4 linked regions of the Coturnix japonica genome follow. The protein of the gene in region 4 purifies or fractionates together with the protein of the main gene of each other region. This does not show direct contact. Links are inferred from orthologs where the notes say so. Each region holds a gene or a part of one and is shown on either strand. Other genes may lie near its edges.

Region 1 (4,453 bases), on a different chromosome or scaffold from region 4:
CACTAGAAAGAGAAACAGAACAACTCTTGTTCTTAAACCTATTTTTGGTTTAGATTCTAGAACAAAACATAGATTCTCAAAGTGTCTCATGATAGTTATTTCTTTATTGAAGTTGATAAAACTTAATTATTTGGGATTATCCATTGCTTTCAATATAGTGAAAGTATTTGTATCTTAAGCATGACTGTTTATATCAGTGCTTTATTAATGGATTGTTTGCAGTGATTACAGCAGGGCAAATTTAACCATGGCAATCTTGGTTGAGAAATTCATAGAAGTCCATTTGACCTTTTACTACATCTGTTCAGAGGAACAATGTTGAAGTAACTGTTTATCTTTTAGGGCTTTCTTTTTGGATCTGTGTAAAATGCATTCAGTGCCAAGTAGCTACCTCTGTGTATATGACATCTTAGTGCTTGCCAGTAATATTCTTAGTATGTAGCCAAGACTTTTTTGCCTTTTTAAAATTGTTTTCTGGCAAGATCATCTTGTTGTGTGCTGTCACAGAACTTGTATTGCCTTAAGTGAATAGGTTAGACTGTCTTCCTTTTTGCACTGCTAGACATCTCTCCATTTCTGTTAGATCCCTATTAGATATAGATAGATAACATGTTAGTGGTACTTCAGATATTCAGGCACAGCAGTTTGCTTGATTAAAGCCCAGCATTAATGAATGGGCCAACAGCTACGTCAACTTTCAAATACCAAAATTTATAGCAGTATTAGTCAGAAAGGTGCTTTACAACCTTTAATTTGTGCAACCTAATAGACATGTGGAGTATTTAAGATTTGCACAGAATGCATTGCTGCAGAGATAGACTTGTTGCCTTTGTAGAGTATCTATCTTCATACTTGAGTAGTCTGATGAGCTTTCAGTGGACTGTTATTCAACAGGTTATAATGAAAAAAAGGTAATTTGTCATCTTCTGAGAATGGCAAACTAAAGCTCTGATATCCTTTCCTTGTATCTGATTAATCACAAATGTGGCCTTTTTATTATTATTTTTAGATAGGAAACAATACAGATGCACTGAGAAAGACCTGGAACCCCAAATTCACATTAAGAAGCCACTTTGATGGAATAAGAGGCTTAGCTTTTCATCCAGTTGAACCAGTACTAATAACAGCTTCAGAGGACCATACATTAAAAATGTGGAATTTACAAAAAACAGCCCCAGCAAAAAAGTAAGATTTTTTTTTTTTCTTTACTTCCTTAAAGCATTGTACTTATCTAAATAAAATTGTGGATATGGCTTCATCTGGTGGTCCTTTGGAGTTAACGGAAATTGTTCCTTAAGTACAAAAGCAAACTCTTAGAGAATTATGGAGACTTTTAGAGCATGCCAGAAGAAATCAATGCACGTTCATGAATTCATTTTATTTTTTAAAAAGAAAAAACGTTCCTTCTTTTTCAATATATGTATTTTGTGCGTAGACTAAGATGGGAAACTAATTTACTAGTAAAATATTTGGGTGTGACCTCATAGTATGCTTGAATCTGTGTATAAATATATAAGCATAACTTGGCTATATGTAAAAAGTAAATGTATACTCATGTGCACGAATACATATGTACAGAATTAAACATTGATGGCAGTGTTGCTAGGTTTATGTGTACAGTGTTTCCTTCATATTGTTAGGGACATGAGGAAACGAATATATTTGTAATAACGCTAACGTAGTGACAGCTGTTCATCATACCTTTTATGAAGACTGGACAATGCCGGTGGTAGTCCTGAAGTCTGTAATTAAATAAAACAAAACAAGACAAAAACAACCCAACACCTGACTGGTAAAGTCCTGAGCAGGAGTTTAAGTGATTTGTAACTGTGTTAGAGCTTTGGTTTAAAGGCAAGGCATTACAAACCCTTTCCTTGGGTAGGAATTTGTAACATTTAAGGAAATACTCCATATGATGCTGATAGCCCTCTACTCCTTCCCCACCACTGATGTACTCTGCACTGATGTGCAGAGATTTCAAAAGAGGTAGCAGTGATTTTTAAGACCTTACTAATTCTGGCACATTTTTGTAAAGCATAATGTAAGGTCATATGTGTGTTAACATTTTCTTGTACTTCATTTAGGAGTGCTTCTCTTGATGTGGAGCCAATATATACCTTCAGAGCACACAGGTGAGTTTTTTATAAGAACACCATTTTATTTGAGAAATACATGATTTCTAAACAGACACAAAAAATTTTAAAGCCATTCCCACCATGTCAACTAGTGATTCCATGCAGTACTTTTATTCCCATGTTATTTAAAATACCTGCTTATTTTCGTCTATTTTTGTCTGGCTCTGGGTACACTACCATTTATAAAAGAGAAAGCTATAAATTATGCAGTTCACATTCAACTAGATTTTCCATCTCAAAAAGGCTCTTGCCTTTTTGTCAGATATGTGTATATGTAGAATGAAGCTGTGTCCAGTGAATTAAAATCTACTGAATTGTTTTTATAGAAAAATCTTCAACTTTTATAAAGGGAAAAAAAGAAAATAAAACCTATAATCTCAAAATATGAAATGTCTGAATTGTCCTTACTGTAGTTAAATTACCAAATATTGAAGAGATACTGTTGTGGGAAGTAGTGTGTAGCCTATGATCTGAGAATGCAGAATTTCCATTGCAGCTAGTGAAGCAAATTAATTGTATTTAACAGGAAAATTTGAAGATGACAATATTTATCACTTAATGAAAATGTTAATAGTCAACTTTTTGGCATGTGGTTTCTTCCAGTGGACCAGTGCTTTGTGTGGTGATGAGCAGTAATGGCGAACAGTGTTACAGTGGGGGAACTGATGGCCTCATCCATGGCTGGAATACAACAAATCCAAACATCGACCCCTATGACTCTTATGGTACATAGCTGTCAGACACCGGCAAAAGAACACATTTAGTGACATTAACCATGTGTAGCTAAAATGGTATAATTTGTAGGTAGTATTTCTTGGAAAAAGTGAAAGAGAAGCTTGAATGTTTGCTCCAGTTAATGTAGATTTTTGTTTTAATAATGATGTTGGTTGATGAGAAGATGGTATTTGTCATTTTCTTAAAAAGAGCCTCAGTCTCATTACAGTTCTGGTATACAACTAGGTTGAAAAAGCACAGGACTAACTAAACCTGATACCCAAAAAGGACAGGAAATGTATGTATAAATATTCATTTACAAATCTGTGCTGCTGAGATAAAGAGGTTGTAGAGTTTGAGACCAAAGCTGTTAATATTATCTACAAACGGTTAAAATCACATATTTCAGTAAAGTTTATGAGCTATAAATAGGCATCAGCCTTGTGTCTGTTTTAAAATGTTCCTCACATCTCATAGCATCAGATATGATTGGCCTCAAAGCTGTCTTTTGGAAAAAAGACTAACATATACCATTAGTGGCTCCATAAGAGTGAGTTTTTAAATCAAAATCTGTTTTATTATCTTTAATACCATTTATTCTGCTGAAAATTTGTTTTGTTCAATTAAATACAAACTGAGAAACTGAATGCCACTTGTGCTGATGAAATTAAAGAAGAATAATAGAATAATTGGAACTATTATACTGATAAGACCTGCTTGTCTTGGCTATTAGTCTTTTTGTTGTTGTTTGTTTTGTGGTTTTTTTTTGTGGACTGACTTGTTACGGCTTCTTCATACACACAGACCAAGATAAAACAATTCACTTAATTCAACTTTTATTTTGAAATATGGTTTGTTTGTCTTTTGTTCACAGATCCTTCTGTTCTAAGAGGTGCTTTTGTAGGCCATACTGATGCAGTGTGGGGTCTGGTTTACAGTGGCACACACCAGCGTTTGCTGTCCTGTTCTGCAGACGGCACTGTACGTTTATGGAAAGCTACAGAAGTTGCTCCAGCTCTCAGTGTATTTAATGATAATCAAGGTATGGAATTTTAAGTTCATTAGCTTAACTGTTCAGACTACCATAATCTTGACTACTGAGTAGAAATCCTTTCTTGTTTGTTTACTGGATTTTATACTGTTATGATTGTTTAGAAGAGCAGTAGATTTTGGATTTTGACACCAGCCATTATTGATAAATACACACAGGCGGACAGTCACACATACCTAAAAACTATGTGTTGTAGGTTACTTGCTGATATTGCTGGATCCAGAGTATAATGTAGCTGTTCCATAGTTCAAATTCAAAGTGAGTTTCCATTAGGCCCTTGCAACTGGTTTGTCAAGAATAAAAAACCCTTTCTTACCCCCAGAGAGGTTTGAAATAGCCAGTGCTTAGGTCCAGCTCAGCATCCTAGCACCTTTCCAGTTGAGGTTCCTAGTGCTTCTGACAGAGATTGCTACTTTCAATGAATTCATGAATTTTTGAATGAACTAAAAAGCAATAATCTAGTCATCCTAAATGCTGTTAGTTGAAAAAATTTAGTCATTAGGGTTTAATTACTGAAATGTAATGCGCGTTCCAAAATCCTGTTATTTAGAGC
Region 2 (5,155 bases), on a different chromosome or scaffold from region 4:
TACATCTCCAGTGCGGCCAGCCCAGCAGATCTCACATGCAGTGATAGAAAAGACAATTTTAATCACATCTCCAATAGCTACAAGCACTTAACACTAATTTATTTTGTCCAAGATTTCACCAATATCTGCACATACATACTCGTAGAATATAAAAAAGAAATACAACCCCAGTTTGAGACCTCAGGCAGTAGAGTAGATTTGTGTGACGAATTCAAACCACTCTAGTCGACATTCACAGATCTAGAAGTTATTATGAGACATCAAAGTTCTCCAACACTTTAGGACTCTGAGTTAAAGCATAATTAAGAGATCAAATCTAGCAAACAAGAAACACGTGGCTATATTTATATATATATTTATTTTGACAAGAATTAAACAGAACTGCAAGTCAATAATTCACAGCATTGTCTATAAATTAGATGATTTTCTGGACACAGAGGTTTTAATTGTGTTTTATCTGTACTAAATGTAGAACAAAATAGGTTAACCTGGAATTAAAAATGGCCCAGTGGCCCAGTGCGAGCAGGGGACAGCAGGTGGGCAAACACTTTTGAGGTATACACTGGTCTGATCAACTTTCCAGCTACGAGTCTGCTGTGAAAAAGCATGTAGCAAATGAAGACAGTTCATATGGTTTATACCTGTGTTCTATTTATTTTTGTTGTTGTTCTGACTGTGCACAGGCTTTACTAAAACTCGTATCAATAAGAGTGACCATTTTTGTATTCTGGGCCTTAGCCTTCAAATTACTGTCCACCCAGAAATGAAACAACTTTGTCAACGTGGCTTTGAAATAAATCACCATATTTAACTTCAGGATGAGGAATTTTAAGAAAAGCAGCCTTACTAATCTGGGGAAGCCAAGGAGGAAGGAAGCAGCTAAAAAAGTTTTCCTTTGCAGAGCGGTTGTCAGCATGCTGCCTGAATATAGTAACGGAGCTAAACTGCAGCACTTCCAAGGTAATGGGCAATGAGGAATGTCTCAAGGGCTGGAGTAAAACAAAGGGCCAAGAGGACTGTGAGGTAAGGGGCAATTTTTGGTCACGATTTGATACTGTCTGGGGAGAATGAAAAAATCTGCTGAGGTGGAAAAGTTGGATTCAGACAGGCTGATCAGTGTGGAAAAGGGAAGACTGAGGAAATGATGGTAGGAAATGACTTAATGGAGAAAAGTCGGATAGGAACTGGTAAAACAACTGAAACAGCAACATGCACCTGAGGTCAGCAGAGAGGAAATGCCAGCACTGGGACAAGCAGGATTTATTTTTCGGCATTTAATACAATTACAGCACTGTCAAGAACGAGCCCATTAAGGACACCATCCATGTTCCACCCATATATACAGCATATGCATTTTTAGGGAAGTAAAACCGAACCCGTGTGTTATTTGTGAAGGGGCGGCCTACAGATCCACCAGGACGTGGTGGGCACTTGGTAGCGCTGCATTTCAGGGCAGTGCTGTGCAGCCCAGCTTTCACCACGTCCATGCTGTGCAGCCAACCCGGGCTGTGCTGCCATGGCACACCAAACCTGCTGCTAATGTGCGCGCTCGTTCTTCCCATCACGGAGGGGAAACATTACACAAACCCCTCAACTACAACAGCACGAAGACGACCTTCATTACAATACAATTAGGATCGGGCACCGCCAGAGCACTTTCAGCCAACCTGTTCTAGAACCACCTACTTGTGAGACACACCGAGCAGCGCCCAGCACAGCCCGGCGAGGCACAACCGGAGCGGCCTTACAGCCCCTCCCAAAGCGGCCGCCCCCCGCCCGCTCAGTGAGCAGTATCGGTATCGGTATCATCAGTATCAGTATCAGTATCAGTATCAGTATCAGCCCGCACTGCCCCTCAGCGCAGCCCCCCCCAGGTCACGGCGCTCACCTCCCCCAGGCGCATGCGCGCTCCGCCGCCTCGTCGGGCCGGGAGGAAGGAGCGGAGGGGAGAGGGGAGCGAGTTCCCGGCATGCCCCGCGCGCCGTGCCGCTCCCCCTTCCCGTGTGGGTGGGCCGAGGCCCGGCGGGCTGTAATGGCGGCTGGCGGCGGCTGGGCGCTGCTCTGACACCCGGATACCGCTCGGCGCGGCCCCCCGCCTCCCCGTACCCGGCCCGCCCCCTCCCGCCCGCCGCAGCCAGCGCCGCTCGCCCCCTCCCCGGCCCCCGTTCGTGGCCCCCCGCCGCGGGACGAGAAGGAGGGCTCCCCGCAGACAATGGACGAGCACCCCGGAGCCGGAGGAGGCGGCGGGATGGCGGCCGCGCCGAGGCCGCAGCAGCCCTCGCCGCAGAGCGGGGGTAACGCGAACCTGCAGCCGGGCGGGGGCTGCGCGGGGGCCGGAGCCGGCGGCGGAGGGCAGCAGCAGCCGCAGGGCCCCGCGGCCCCGGGCGGGCAGGAGGCGGCGGGCCCCGCCGAGCTGTCCCGGCCGCAGCACTACACGATCCCGGGGATCCTGCACTACATCCAGCACGAGTGGGCCCGCTTCGAGATGGAACGGGCGCACTGGGAGGTGGAGCGGGCCGAGCTGCAGGTACGGGCCCAGGGTGGGCTCCGCGCGCGGGGCCGGGACCGACTCGGGGTCTCGGGGCCGCACGGGAGAGCGGGGCCGGCGGGTCGCCAAGGCCGGGGCGGTCGCTGCGGGACGGGAGCGGTACCTGCGCGAGGGCCGGACGGCGAAGCGACGTCGCCGGGCGGCGGGGCTGGCGGAGGCGCGGCCGCTCACGGCCCGAGCTGGGCTCCCTTCCCTGGGGCAGCCATTTTGGTTTTTAGCATGGCGCCCGCCTGGGCTGTTGGCGCCGGAGCCAACCCGGCTCCGCGGGCCTCGAGGGCCGCAAAACGCCGGAGGAGGGCGGGCGGCCGCTGAGCGCGCTGATCGGTCGTGCGGGGCAGGGCCCGGAGCGCCCTGACAGCTGCGGTCCCCTCCCCGAGCACAATGACTCGGGGGCTTTCGGAGCCCGGCCCTGCTCAGCCCTGGGTGCTGCTTTGGGAAAGCTGCGGCCCGCGGGCGTGGAAGGATACGGCTTCACCGGAGCTGAGCGAGCGGCTCCTTCGGGGTAGCGGGGAGGCGGCGGTGCCTGCCGAGGTGGGAGAACGCTGAGAACGGGGTCGAGAAATCTCGCAAGCAACGGACTTGACCGGGTTCTCACGGTGGAGACAGGTCGAACACATGCTCTCTTTCCTTCCTTTTTGTTTCTTGGGAGACCTCACGTGGGAGAAGCAACTGCTGAAGAATAGTGAGGAGCTGATGGGTCTGCAGTGTGATCCTTGTCCTACAAATACAAACTCTGTGTCAGGAGCAAAAATTGAACAACTCTAGAGGGCAGGGAGCAAGTGTTTGAGTTCCAGCATAGATCTCTGGCCATAAATGTTTGCTTTTCATAATGGAAAAGATCTCTTGTATTTACGTGTTCATATAAAAAATAAAGCCACGCATCACAAACTTATGTTCAGTTTATGAAATCTACAGAGTCTGAGGCATTTGTCTATAAGTTGTGCATTTTTTTTTCTCCTATGAAAGCATAACAGTTAAAATTGTTTAAAAAAGAATGTTTCTTGTTATGATTTATATGTTGGGTGAATGTTTGCAGTCTTGAAGCAGCATTCCATCAAATCACGCCTTACCTGCAGTTTGTGGAAACATGCTGTAGCAGCAGCCAGTGTTTGTGATGTACGTCTGTGTACATCTTGATGTATGTCTGTGTACATCTTCAGACTGTAGAATGGAGAACTCTACCTAAACCTGGACAATTCTTTCAGGATTTTTCAACTCTTAGACCACATGTGTAATTTGCAGGGTTGTTGTTGTTACAGCTTGAATTGAGATAGAATAAAAGAAAACAAAACATCACACCTTCCCCCTCCTCCCCCCAGAAAAAAATAAATAAATAAATAGTAAGAGAGATTTTGCTATTTATTTCACTTACTGCCTGATTTACTATTTTAAACCTTTCAGAACAGCTGATCCTAAAATCACTGTGGTGGAAATGGGGTGGGTATTTTCAGTAGCAATGGACTTGTTCTCATATCTTCTGTAGCGTCTCAGTAGTATAGTACTGTATTGATAGGTAAATAAATAGCTCAGTGGTGTTCATTATCAAGCAAGACCATCTTGAAGTACTTGTTTTGTGTATAGGCTTGTGACTTCACAGTGAAGTACCTCGTTCTATAAATGTAAGGTGCAGTTTTGAGATGTTGAAAACTCTGACTGGAAGTGCTGGTGTGAACTCATGTGGCCTCTAGATACTGTGATGTGTTTCTGCCAAGTCTGCTGCTTTTTTTTCTATGTAACTGTAGTTTGTCATTCACAGCCACAATGTTTCATTTGCTTGTTACTTAATCTGCCATCCTAGTTCTGATCCTGGCTTTGTATGTGTTGCTTCACTCTATCTGTGTGTGTGCATTAGGTCATGGGAAGCAGGAGCAGTGCTCCCTGCCCAGTGTGTGTGTATGAGGGGAACTTTTTTGTTTTTTTGCTGACTTCAGAAGCCCAGGATAGAAGTGTGATCAGGAAGGAGGCAGGGAGAGTGTGTTTCCTTTGCATGTTAGATGTCAGCCTTCATAGTGATTAAGTTCAGTATAGGACTGTGTTAAGCGTGTTCTTTTGGAGGACGTGCATGAAAACCAGGCCCTATGGTTTTCATGTATGTGTGTGTATGTTTATAGCATATAATTACTTTTTGGTCCTACAACTCAAGTAATGAAGTCCCAGTTTATTCTGTGACTAATAAAACATTTTGAACCCCAAACAACTGCTTTGCCCTTTGAAGCCTCTATGACTGTTGTTCATCTGTGAATGCAGCCTCCTGAGTTGAACAGGAAAAAAATCTGGTAGCATGACAGTAGTAATTAATATGGAAGCTAGAAGCATGAGAACTACATTTCATAGATGCAGCTCTCACCCATGCAGGTAGTTTCTTCCTTCTTTAGTAATTAAAGGTCCCTTCCTAAGTTGACTTGATAACTTTGCAAATAACACTTTACAAAGAGTATGTGGAAAACCAAATGACTTAGCAGAACGTTGTTTTATTTTCTTGCTCTGAACTTAAGATTTTTTCCAGACAATGGGATTTTTATTGGCAGTTTTAAACCGGTGGGAATTATTGAGTGATTTTTCCCATCTCTCCCCTTCTGTCCCCTTTGTGGTTCAGGTGACTGGTAA
Region 3 (5,182 bases), on a different chromosome or scaffold from region 4:
CGCTGGCAAGGGCCTGGTGCAGAGCTCGTGCAGAGGCAGTGAGTCACAGCCACCTCTGCTCAGTCATTGCAGCCTGCAGAGGCAGCAGCAGCAGTCGGGGCGCTGCTCGTGCTTTGTCTGGTGAGGAAGTGACTGTACCCTGCCATGGGAGCTGCTCCCTCCCCTCAAGAGCCCGGGCTGCTCCTCCTCGAGCTTCAGGACAGGGCAGTGTGCAGGAGCAGCCCCTCAACTTTGTGAGCTGGGGATTGCAATTAGTCCCGGCCCTTTGCTTGTGCCATCTGTCTGTTCCCCGAACATCCCTGCAGGATGTGTGTCTTAGCAGGTTAATTTAATAACCGCCTGCTTTATTGTTGCTGGCCACGGGCACGGCACGGAGCAGAGGAGCACATCAATAGCACAGAGCAGGAATCAGATCCAGCCCAGATGCTCATTTAAGAGGTTTGTTTTGCTGAGGGAGAGCGAAGCCTCCCATGGGCCCAGCCCTGCGTCGTTCTCCTTGGCAAGAGATGGGTAACAAACAGCAGTGATTAAACCGGGCCACAGACACAGGGAGCGCTACAAAGAGGTGAGGGCAGCACAGAGCAGCAGGAAGGTGCTGCTGGCTGGAGGTGAAGGGTTGGCCATGGACAAACAGCAGCTGGATGAATGGGAGCTGCAGGATGGTCAGGCATTGGAATGCACTGCCCACGGAGGTGGTGGAGTCACCGACCATGGGAGTGTTCAAGAAACGTCTGGATGTTGTGTTGAGGGATATGATTTAACTGGGAAGTATTGGTGATGGTTGGACTGGATGATCTTCTAGGGCTTTTCCAACCTTGATCATTCTGTGATTCTGTGATCAATCCCAGCTCTGTGCACGAGGCCGCCCCAACGCTGGGTCCCACTCTTTGCCCCCAGCCCCATTTCCTCCCTCATTCCTCCACCCCAGCCCCATTTATTTCCTCCCTCATCCCTCCACCCCAGCCCCATTTCCTCCCTCATTCCTCCACCCCAAACCCATTTTCTCATTCATTCCTCCACCCCAGCCCCATTTCCTCACTCATCCTTCCACCCCAGCCCCATTTCCTCCCTCATTCCTCCACCCCAGCCCCATTTCCTCCCTCATCCCTCCACCCCAGCCCCATTTCCTCACACATCCCTCCACCCCAGCCCCATTTCCTCCCTCATCCCTCCACCCCAGCCCCATTTCCTCACTCATCCCTCCACCCGAGCCCCATTATTTCCTCCCTCATTCCTCCACCCGTTGCACACAGGCCGGGCGGCACCACAGAGAGGCGCACACAAGGAGCCCAAGTGACCGTGTAATCTCATTATTATAACCCTCATCCTCATCCTTTCCCCTTGTCTCCCTCCATCAGTCGCCGATTAGAACCGGGCGGCAGCTCTGGACCTGTGAACAAATAACGCTATTTACGCACACAGCCGCGCGGCGGTCGGGCTGTGCTGGTGTTGGAGGTGCCCTGGAGCCCAGCCGGGCACTGAAAGCCCCAGGGGGCTTCAGGGGGGGTTTCAGGGCTGAACCCGGCCCCTTGTTGGCACCGCCCTCCACACGAGGCCCGGCCCCCAGCACCGCCGCCATGTTGGGTCGGCTCCTCGGTGTCACACTCAAATCGTTCCCCCGCGCGCACACCCGGTGCCGCACCCAACCCCGTCCCCATGGGCGCGGTGACGTCACACGCCGGAAGTGACCCGCGCGGAGCAGAGCGGCGGGAGGGGCGCGTCTCCGGTGTCGCAGCGTAATCCTTCCGGGCGGGGCCGGGCGCTGCCGGGGCCGGGGCTATGCGAGGGCCGCGCTGCCGCCTGCCCTAGGCCCGGGCCCGGCGCGGGGGGAAGCGTCGATCGGGGCCCGATGCGGGAGTACAAGGTGGTGGTGCTGGGCAGCGGGGGGGTGGGGAAGTCCGCCCTCACGGTGCAGTTCGTCACCGGCACGTTCATCGAGAAGTACGACCCCACCATCGAGGACTTCTACCGCAAAGAGATCGAGGTGGACTCGTCGCCGTCCGTGCTGGAGATCCTGGACACGGCGGGCACCGAGCAGTTCGCCTCCATGCGGGACCTCTACATCAAGAACGGGCAGGGCTTCATCCTGGTCTACAGCCTGGTCAACCAGCAGAGCTTCCAGGTAACCGGGCTCGGCCTTCCTCACACACGGCACAACCGAGCCCGGCCCCGCTGGTTGTGCGGCTGTTTATGGGGCTGCCCCCATCGCGGAGCCCCGCGCTGTGCTGCACAACAATGACCCGCTCCCACTTCCCTGTTAGAAACCTGCAGGCGAGCCCCTTCCGCGAGGAGATCACTCGATATTAAAACCAACGCTTCCTCTTTTCTTTTTCTTCTTTCTTCTTAAAAAGGCGTTTTTCTTCGGTTGCTTTTGAAGAGAGAATTCTTGCTCCTCACTTAAGACTCGCTCAATCAGATGCCGTTTTCCTCCCCCCCCCATCCCCCCAAATCACGTTCCTGTCCAGCACGAGCTCGGTGCTCTGGCAGCGTGGGTGGTGCACAGAAGAGCAGCGAGCCAGATGGGATCATGCGGGGCTCTGGAGCTATAATGCGGGGCTCTGGAGCTATAGTGTGGGGCTCTGGAGCTATAATGTGGGGCTCTGGAGCTATAACACGGGGCTCTGAGCTCGGTCCTGCTATTAGAGCTCTCAAAAAATGGAAGCGTCGAGGCAGCGACTGGGCTGAGCTGCCTGTGGGATTGAGGCTTTATTTGAAGGGAAACGTGCGTTTAGCAGCGCTGCGTACAATGCAGGGATCTGCATCTGCTGTGTTGGCTTTGCTTTCGGAATTGGGTGTTTTCCAGCTGCTTGGAGAAACCTCGCACACCCCCCACTGAAGCAGAACGGCTGCTTCTATGAGGGCTCGGTTTGGCCTTAGCAGAGGGTTCCATGTAGCTACAGACATGCTCCCTTTGGAAAACAAGGCCGTCGGGATGATTCTCCCTTCATTCTCACGTATTTGGGGACCGGTGTCTCCCCATTATTCAAGAACCGGCCATACACAATCCACCCTGTTAATCTTTAGTTCTTTTTATCTGTCTACAGCATGTTTGCTGCAAAGCCTGTAGGTGTAAACCACCCTACGGGATCTTTGACACAGTGGTGACTTCAGATGCTTAATTGCTTTGTCTCAGAACTATGCAAGAATTTGCAGAACTCAGTGGCTGGCACTGATAGTGACTTAAAACAGTCAGGGGGCAGAGGAGTCTGACTCAGCCTGTGTAAACTAATGTTAGCTCAGGCTTGAATAAATGCATCTCTAGGTAATGCAATCTTCTTGCAGCATCTAATTTGGTTACTTACACGTGATTAAACGTGTTCACAATGAATTATTTTAAGCTCTCCACAAGTGAGAAGGCTATTTAAATTATTGGCTTTCTCAAGCTGTAAACTGAACTCAAACATCCTAATGGCTTTTCAAAGCAGCTGGGCTGTCTTCCTCCAGCCAAACTGAAAGGCTCTCTGAGATTTATGTCTTTATGGGCCTGTTTTATAAAACATAAGCATAGCTGTACATGTGAAGTTAGAAAAAACATTATGAAAAGTGGGTGTAGAACTTCCTGTGAGTTCCAGATCCACATGGCAGTGAGTTTAATGAAGCTTTGAAACGTGTTCAGTATTGAGTAGCATGTGATGGTTGGTTAAATGTGCTTCTGTAGTGGTTGTATAGTGATTTCATGTGATTGCTTGCACACACTAACTGCTTGGATTGTTTGATCAGGACATCAAGCCAATGAGGGACCAGATTGTCCGGGTGAAGAGATACGAGAAAGTCCCTCTGATCCTAGTGGGGAATAAAGTGGATCTGGAGTCGGAGAGAGAGGTCTTGTCTGCAGAAGGCAGAGCTCTGGCTCAGGAATGGGGCTGTCCCTTCATGGAGACGTCAGCCAAGAGCAAAACGATGGTGGATGAACTGTTTGCTGAGATCGTCAGGCAAATGAACTATGCCTCCCTGCCTGAAAAACAAGATCAGTGTTGTACAACTTGCATCGTCCAGTGAGAGAAGTTAAGGAAAACCTCAGTCATGGCCATACAGAGCAGGTTGGTTGAACGGTCGTAACTAACTGAAGCATATAAGCTTTATATTTATTACTGTTTAAGTAAGATAAAATGCGCCAAGGAGCCTGAAATTAAGTGGTGTAGCTTTGGAGGTAGCTTTCCTCTGAAAGAGCTGGAAGTTCGTGAGTTCCTTTGCACGTAAGTACTTGAATCGCACAGACTTGTTGCCTTACTGCAGTAGTGTTGGTTCAGGGAACACTGCCTTTGCTTGTAGCAATTCTGTAGTGCAGCAGAGTTCACAATCTCATCTCCACCTGTTCTGACTGTCAGCACTGCATTGGACATTACTGTATCCTTAATGATGTTTTGTGATATTTTAGTGGGATTCCTCATTGTGTTTGCTATCTGACTTATTTTCAAGTTAATGTGAAGTACCTTGGACTTGAATAGTGTTATATTTGCCCAGCTTTCCATTAATTGCACTGAGAAGACTTTGAGCTTGCTTCAAAGAAAAAAAAAAAAAAGCTGTACAGAAACTGAATGTACTTGGAGCACATTTCTGTCTTATCAGTGAAATAAGTTTAAGAGAACTACCCTGAGCTGTGAGGAGTGGCTTGAAGCCCACATGTACTGGTCAAGGACATGTACAAAGTGTTCTTCATCTAACGACTCCTGAGCAGAGAATACATGATAAAATGGCCTCCCGAGGCCTGACTCTGCTTTCCCAGTGACTCATAAGAGGTGTGGCAAGAGTACAGTGTTCAGAAGGGACCCTGAAGGCTTCACTGGTCTTGGGTATTGCTTTCCTTCTTCTGCAAGGCCCTTTGCCTGCATGGTCATCTTCTGTACCACACCTTGCCTCTCACCCAGCTGTGTATGTGGCTCTGCTCCTCCCGTGCAAGCAGCAGCACGGTCATCCCTGTGTAAGGTGCTCATGAAACCCCCTCCTCTGTTTTCCTTGTTGCTGCTGTGGGTGTGGTTTTACCACCAGCTCAAACCCCTGCTTTTGGAAGAGGCCCCCTGTGCAGCCAGCTGGTCTGTCAGACCCACAGTTGTCTGTTGCATCTGACTCTGCAAACAACTTGATGTAATCTGTAAGGGCAAGCACAGAGATGAAGGACTTGAAAATGCAGGGGAAAGAACTGCCTCACTTGACAGCTACGCTGATTAAAGCTTAAGTTCTG
Region 4 (4,937 bases):
ATTCATAGGTTTAAAATGACAAATAAAGCAAACTTTTTTTTCTTTTCCCTCATAAAATAAACGACACCCTGAGGATTTCTTGCTCCTTCCTTCTTGTGTGCCACTCTTGCAGTCTGGCAAACCATGTTTCACTGTTTTTCTTTTAAAGTTTCCTTTTCCTTAGTCCTTCTCAGAGATGTCCTTGTTCCACTCTTAGCTTTAGCGTGTTCTTTTTGTACCTCAAACTGTGCTTGCCTGTATCCTTGGACCTTTTATTTCTCTGCACAGAGTAGCAGAGAACAAGGGCAGAGCTGGGAGAGGAGGCGTCTTTCCAGCTCATTGTAAGGCATTTTCCCCCCGTCCCTTGGCAGCACGGTAAATCTCAACAAGACCACCATGGCTTTTGTCATTAGGCAGAGGTCCAGGGTGGGGTGTTGGAGTTGCAGATCCCCAAGGCTTGCTGAAAGCCTCAAGAAGTAGCAGGGTCAAAGGGAGGTCAGTCTTGGCCATTGCACATATGTTATAATCCTAATTTTGTTTCGAAATCCAGCCTAGTTTGAGAGCAAACTGTAAAAAGAAATGTGTGTAATAACAAGGCTTTACAGAGCAGGCAGAATCCCGAGTACGGTAATTTATTTATAGAAAACATGTGGATTGGTTAATGAGGGGAGAGTGCAGCGCAATGCAAGTTGTAAAAGAAGCTGGAGGCTGTAAATTCTGCAGCATTTCATCTGAGTCCTTTGTCATGCAGCAGAAATACCTGGACATTACCTCTGCAGAGGGCATGGCAAAGTATGAGGGGGCTGAGATTTGTCCAGAGGGACTGGTGGTTTGCCTTGGTGTCCTTCTGGGGTGCCGATCTTGAATATGTAAAGCACTGCTGGACTGTTGAGCTGGACATCCTCAAGCAGACTCAGTGTTATGTGAAGGGCTGGAACCATTGCTAAAGGCTCGTTAGAAGAAAAAGAAGTAGAGTTAATCAATATGGCCCCAACCTCTGCAAAAAATGTACCAGAGAAAAGTGTTTTTTTGTCACAAATCAGCTGTGCTGAGTCGCAGCTCAGCGGAGCTGGAAAGGGGCTGTTGTGCTTCTGTCTCCCTGCCACGTGGTTTGCCCTGTGCCAGCTCTGGTTCTGCTCTGCTTGCAGAGCAAGCCCATTTAATTTCCTGATCTGCATCCCTCCTCCTCCCTGCCCCGCAGTTTGCTTTTTCTGTGTTAACTTTCTGCCATTTCAGTGATCTAAATCAGCTTATCATATGATCTGATGAGTGCCAGAATGAGCTAGATGCTCATGGGAGAAATATGTGACAGGAGGAGGGAGGGAGGGAGGCAGGGGAAGGAGCTCCCCACTGCAGTAGCTGGGATCTATTAATTCAGCTCAAGCTGTACAGAGGAGCCGTACCCTTATGGTGCTGTAGCTGAAGGGAGACATCCTCTTCATCATCAAGAGACAAGACAAAGAGAGCTCTTCAGGTCCAGTACATCACTTGAAGAAACCCCAGCATTTTATATCTTTAGTTTTACCTAACAGTGAAGACCAAAGCAAAGACAAACATACTTTTTTGGTCACCCAGCTTGTGTGCATTTACCCAGTAAATAAAGCAAAGCTTACAAATAAAATACGTGCTATATGGAGTTGAACATTCTGATGCGTTAATAAATGATCCGTACTGACTATGAGCTTTGCTGAAGTAGAAAGAAAAGAAGCAAACGTAATGTCTGTGCTTAATCTTAATGATCATCCTCTTAATGTGGAGATAAAGACCTAACATTTCTAAAGAACATTTTAAAAGGAATCTCCTTTAGCTATCTAGTGTATGTGTTGCTTTTCAAGTGAAATAGTGGAAGAGTCCAGCACAGCTGGGCAAAACCCAGCAGCTGAAGATCTCCAAATGCTTTGCTCTGTGTGTGCTCAAGGGATTGGTGAAGTGCTGGTGCTGATGCTTCTCTCTCTTTTCAGGGTCGACATGTCAAAACAGGCCAGTTGGCAGCCATCAAAGTCATGGACGTTACTGAGGTGAGTAGAGAAACATTCTGCTTGGTTAGTAATGTGAGTAAAATTCGACGGCAAGAGACGGCATACGGTTTACCTCAGGTTTATGTGGAAGGGCACGGTCCTTGCAAGTGAACATTTGCTTTCTGTTTGCAGGGCCTGACCTCTTGAGCCTGTCTACCCATTATGAGATTTCTGTGTGCTTGTGTGGAGGGGCCTCTGGCCTTTCATAAATTGCCGTGGCTGCTCCCAGGAGCACGGGTAGGAAACCTGCTTTGGCAGGGGGTTGGACTCGATGATCACTGGAGGTCCCTTCCAACTCCTACAATTCTTTGATTCTGTGTAGCACTCCCTTACCTGAAACTTCTCAGAAGTGGGGAGGAAAGGAACATTCCCCACTTCCTACTTTTTTTTTCTTTTAAATATATCATCATACATCTGCCTTACCAAAAAAAGAAGGTGAGGAGGCTGCTTGACAGTAGTTTCCTTGGTACATTTGCAGCCTAAAAAGGGCGTACATTTATTCAAAGGAAATGGGTCCAATAAAGTTCCCAGAAGCCTGAAAGCAGAAACATCTGCAGGAACGATGAGCAGATTGCTGGCAGAATTCAGCAGTGTAAAGTAGTAGTTGTAACTGACCCAAGGGGATTTACTGTGGAGCTTTAGATGAGAAAGACGGGAAATTAACCCAGCCACAGAAATAAAAAATATACATCCATGCTTGAATCCTGAGCTGTCATGTAGTTTATACTGTTCAAAAAGCAATCAGTTTAAATTAAGACTTCAAAACAGACCAGAAAAAGCATGGCTTTTTCCTGTTGATTCCAGTTGTGTTTTACCAAGTTACAACCTCGGCAACGGCTTGAGATTTAAAATCGAATTAGATCCTTTTGTGTAGTATCCACAATGCTTGACTGACACTGCACTGTTTGAAGTTCATCCTGAAACAGAGCATCTTAATTTTCTAAACTCCTCAGTTTTACAGAGACACTAGGGGAAAAATCAGGTTAATGTGTATACATTGCATTAGAGCAGGGGTCTTTGGCAAGCTGGTTGTATTAAGCAAAAAGCTCTTACAAGGGTATTGCTGCAAAATATTTTCTATTTTGATATTGTGTGTGTGGGCCCTGGCAGATCAAAATGGACAGAAGCTGCCTGGCAAGTAACTGAGGTGTGATGGGTGATCAGGCAGGACAAGGAGGAAAACAAGAAGGCAGGGATGGGTCAACTGATAGTACTTCAGTTCTATCTCTTGATCTCCCTGTGATCGATGAGCAGCGTGACTGCTGATCTCTTAACTGAAGCAGTTGTGTCTGCCAAGAGCTAGACATTCTTGCTTTGTAAGATGGCCTGATAAAAACTGATGTTCAGCTGGAAATTTTCAAAGGTTGCCTTCTCAAGAGGCAGCGCTATTTTTCTGCAGTTAATATGTAGACAAAACAGAGAAGGATGAAGGTGCGATGACATAAAATGAATGCTCTTTGCTCAGCAAATGTTTCCATTTGTGCAGCAGCGTGAAGTAGAGCAGCTTGCTGGACTGTAGCAGTGAAGGTTTCTTCTATAACACTAAGCTTGGTTGTATTGCACACTTCCCTCTGTTTTTAATAGCATATATTAATCACAAACAGTTGTGATGGAGAGGTTGCACAGCAAAAGGCAAACAATTGAATAATGCTGGGTATAGCGTGGCTGAGCTCATGTTGCAGGAGATAGTTTATGTTTTGAAACTTGCTGCAGATTTGGGCTGGTTTTGAAAGTTGTGTATTGGCACCATCTTCTACCTCACAAGCTCATTCTTTCTTAGGGGCTGCATAGCAGCCAGAGGGAGGATTGGGAGATGTTAACCCCACACAGTGTAAAAGCGTCGCTGTTCCTACAGTTGAAGCTCATGTGTTTTTACTTCAAAGTAATGAGCCTTTGGAGGCCAAAAATGCGGTGTAAATTCTTCCAAGTCATGCTAAGTCAACTGTACTTTTTAACACCAGGCATGGATGATATTCCCATAGGATATTCCTGTCCGCTCCTACTGGAGTCAGTACTTGGCTCCCTGTCTGCATCCCCGTATTTGTGCTGGCATCAAGGCTTTGGTCCAGGCAGTGACTCAGATCAGTGAGCAGCCTTCAGTTCCCCTAAAAATTCCCTCACTTTTCTCTTCCTGCTGGTTATTTATAACCTGGATAAGTTTGCTGCTCTATTTTAGCATGTAGTCTTTACTGTGATGAAAGTGGCATGAGATTGGGAAAGAGCCATTGATGACCATGGAGGTGTAGGGGAAGAAAGAGCTCCGAGTGGTATTGCTGCCGAAGATGGCCTTGCCATCCAGGTATGGCTTGGTTTCCTCAAGGAATGGTTTTCTGAGCATCTCCTTTACTGGCAAATCACATTTAAAGCAGCTTCATCATCATTCTAGCTGACAGCAAGATGGTTAAGAGCAGAGAATGTAAGGACCTTCTCAACACAAGGATCTTCTCCACTTGCTTTCCTAGCTATATTTTCATGAGCTGCTCTTGTGAACTAATGGTAACTATCATCTGTGCATATATGGGGGAAAGAGACTGGAATGGACACTCTCCTAAAAAACTGAAATTGTAATGCTTTTTTTTTAATGGGCAGCTATTGAGGCTGTAGATGATTCGTGCCTTGGTACGTGTATTGCTGGCAGTACTTAATGCTTAAGTGGTGCTGTGGATGATATCTGATTGTTGTGTTTAACTGGTGCTGAGAACACACACAAGACTTTCTTTTTTCTCAGGTACCTCTGATCCAGTGCTTGCTTTGCCAAACACTTAAAAAATTAGAAAGCCTAATGTGTTGGCAAGCTCTGTAGACACGCCTCAGATTTTCAATTTTCAAGGCCCGGTTCTGCAGTTCCTGCACTGCTCATGATCACCAAGGTTACATCAGCTCTGTAAAGCTTTGATGACCTGAACAGAAGGAATGTCCAAGTCAAAGTGAAGACTTCCC

The links.
Region 1: the proteins of MAP4K4 (region 4) and STRN purify together in Homo sapiens (affinity purification with mass spectrometry; 4 studies listed by BioGRID and IntAct, with this or other methods). This does not show direct contact. The link is inferred for Coturnix japonica from reciprocal best matches to the Homo sapiens genes MAP4K4 and STRN.
Region 2: the proteins of MAP4K4 (region 4) and STRN3 purify together in Homo sapiens (affinity purification with mass spectrometry; 4 studies listed by BioGRID and IntAct, with this or other methods). This does not show direct contact. The link is inferred for Coturnix japonica from reciprocal best matches to the Homo sapiens genes MAP4K4 and STRN3.
Region 3: the proteins of MAP4K4 (region 4) and RAP2C purify together in Homo sapiens (affinity purification with mass spectrometry; 3 studies listed by BioGRID and IntAct, counting the BioPlex papers as one, with this or other methods). This does not show direct contact. The link is inferred for Coturnix japonica from reciprocal best matches to the Homo sapiens genes MAP4K4 and RAP2C.

Annotation. Positions count from the first base shown.
Region 1 is NC_029518.1:28,887,669-28,892,121, forward strand, and holds part of STRN (striatin), read left to right. Parts: intron 1-1,009; coding exon 1,010-1,185; intron 1,186-2,084; coding exon 2,085-2,132; intron 2,133-2,738; coding exon 2,739-2,860; intron 2,861-3,723; coding exon 3,724-3,891; intron 3,892-4,453. UniProt on the Homo sapiens protein: Calmodulin-binding scaffolding protein which is the center of the striatin-interacting phosphatase and kinase (STRIPAK) complexes.
Region 2 is NC_029520.1:30,850,343-30,855,497, forward strand, and holds the start of STRN3 (striatin-3), read left to right. Parts: upstream 1-2,019; 5' UTR 2,020-2,212; coding exon 2,213-2,527; intron 2,528-2,651; exon of another isoform or gene 2,652-3,834; intron 3,835-5,155. UniProt on the Homo sapiens protein: Calmodulin-binding scaffolding protein which is the center of the striatin-interacting phosphatase and kinase (STRIPAK) complexes.
Region 3 is NC_029519.1:3,390,339-3,395,520, reverse strand, and holds the start of RAP2C (ras-related protein Rap-2c), read left to right. Parts: upstream 1-1,733; 5' UTR 1,734-1,849; coding exon 1,850-2,122; intron 2,123-3,720; coding exon 3,721-3,999; 3' UTR 4,000-4,040; intron 4,041-5,182. UniProt on the Homo sapiens protein: Small GTP-binding protein which cycles between a GDP-bound inactive and a GTP-bound active form. May play a role in cytoskeletal rearrangements and regulate cell spreading through activation of the effector TNIK.
Region 4 is NC_029516.1:120,422,558-120,427,494, forward strand, and holds the start of MAP4K4 (mitogen-activated protein kinase kinase kinase kinase 4), read left to right. Parts: upstream 1-1,923; 5' UTR 1,924-1,982; coding exon 1,983-1,997; intron 1,998-4,937.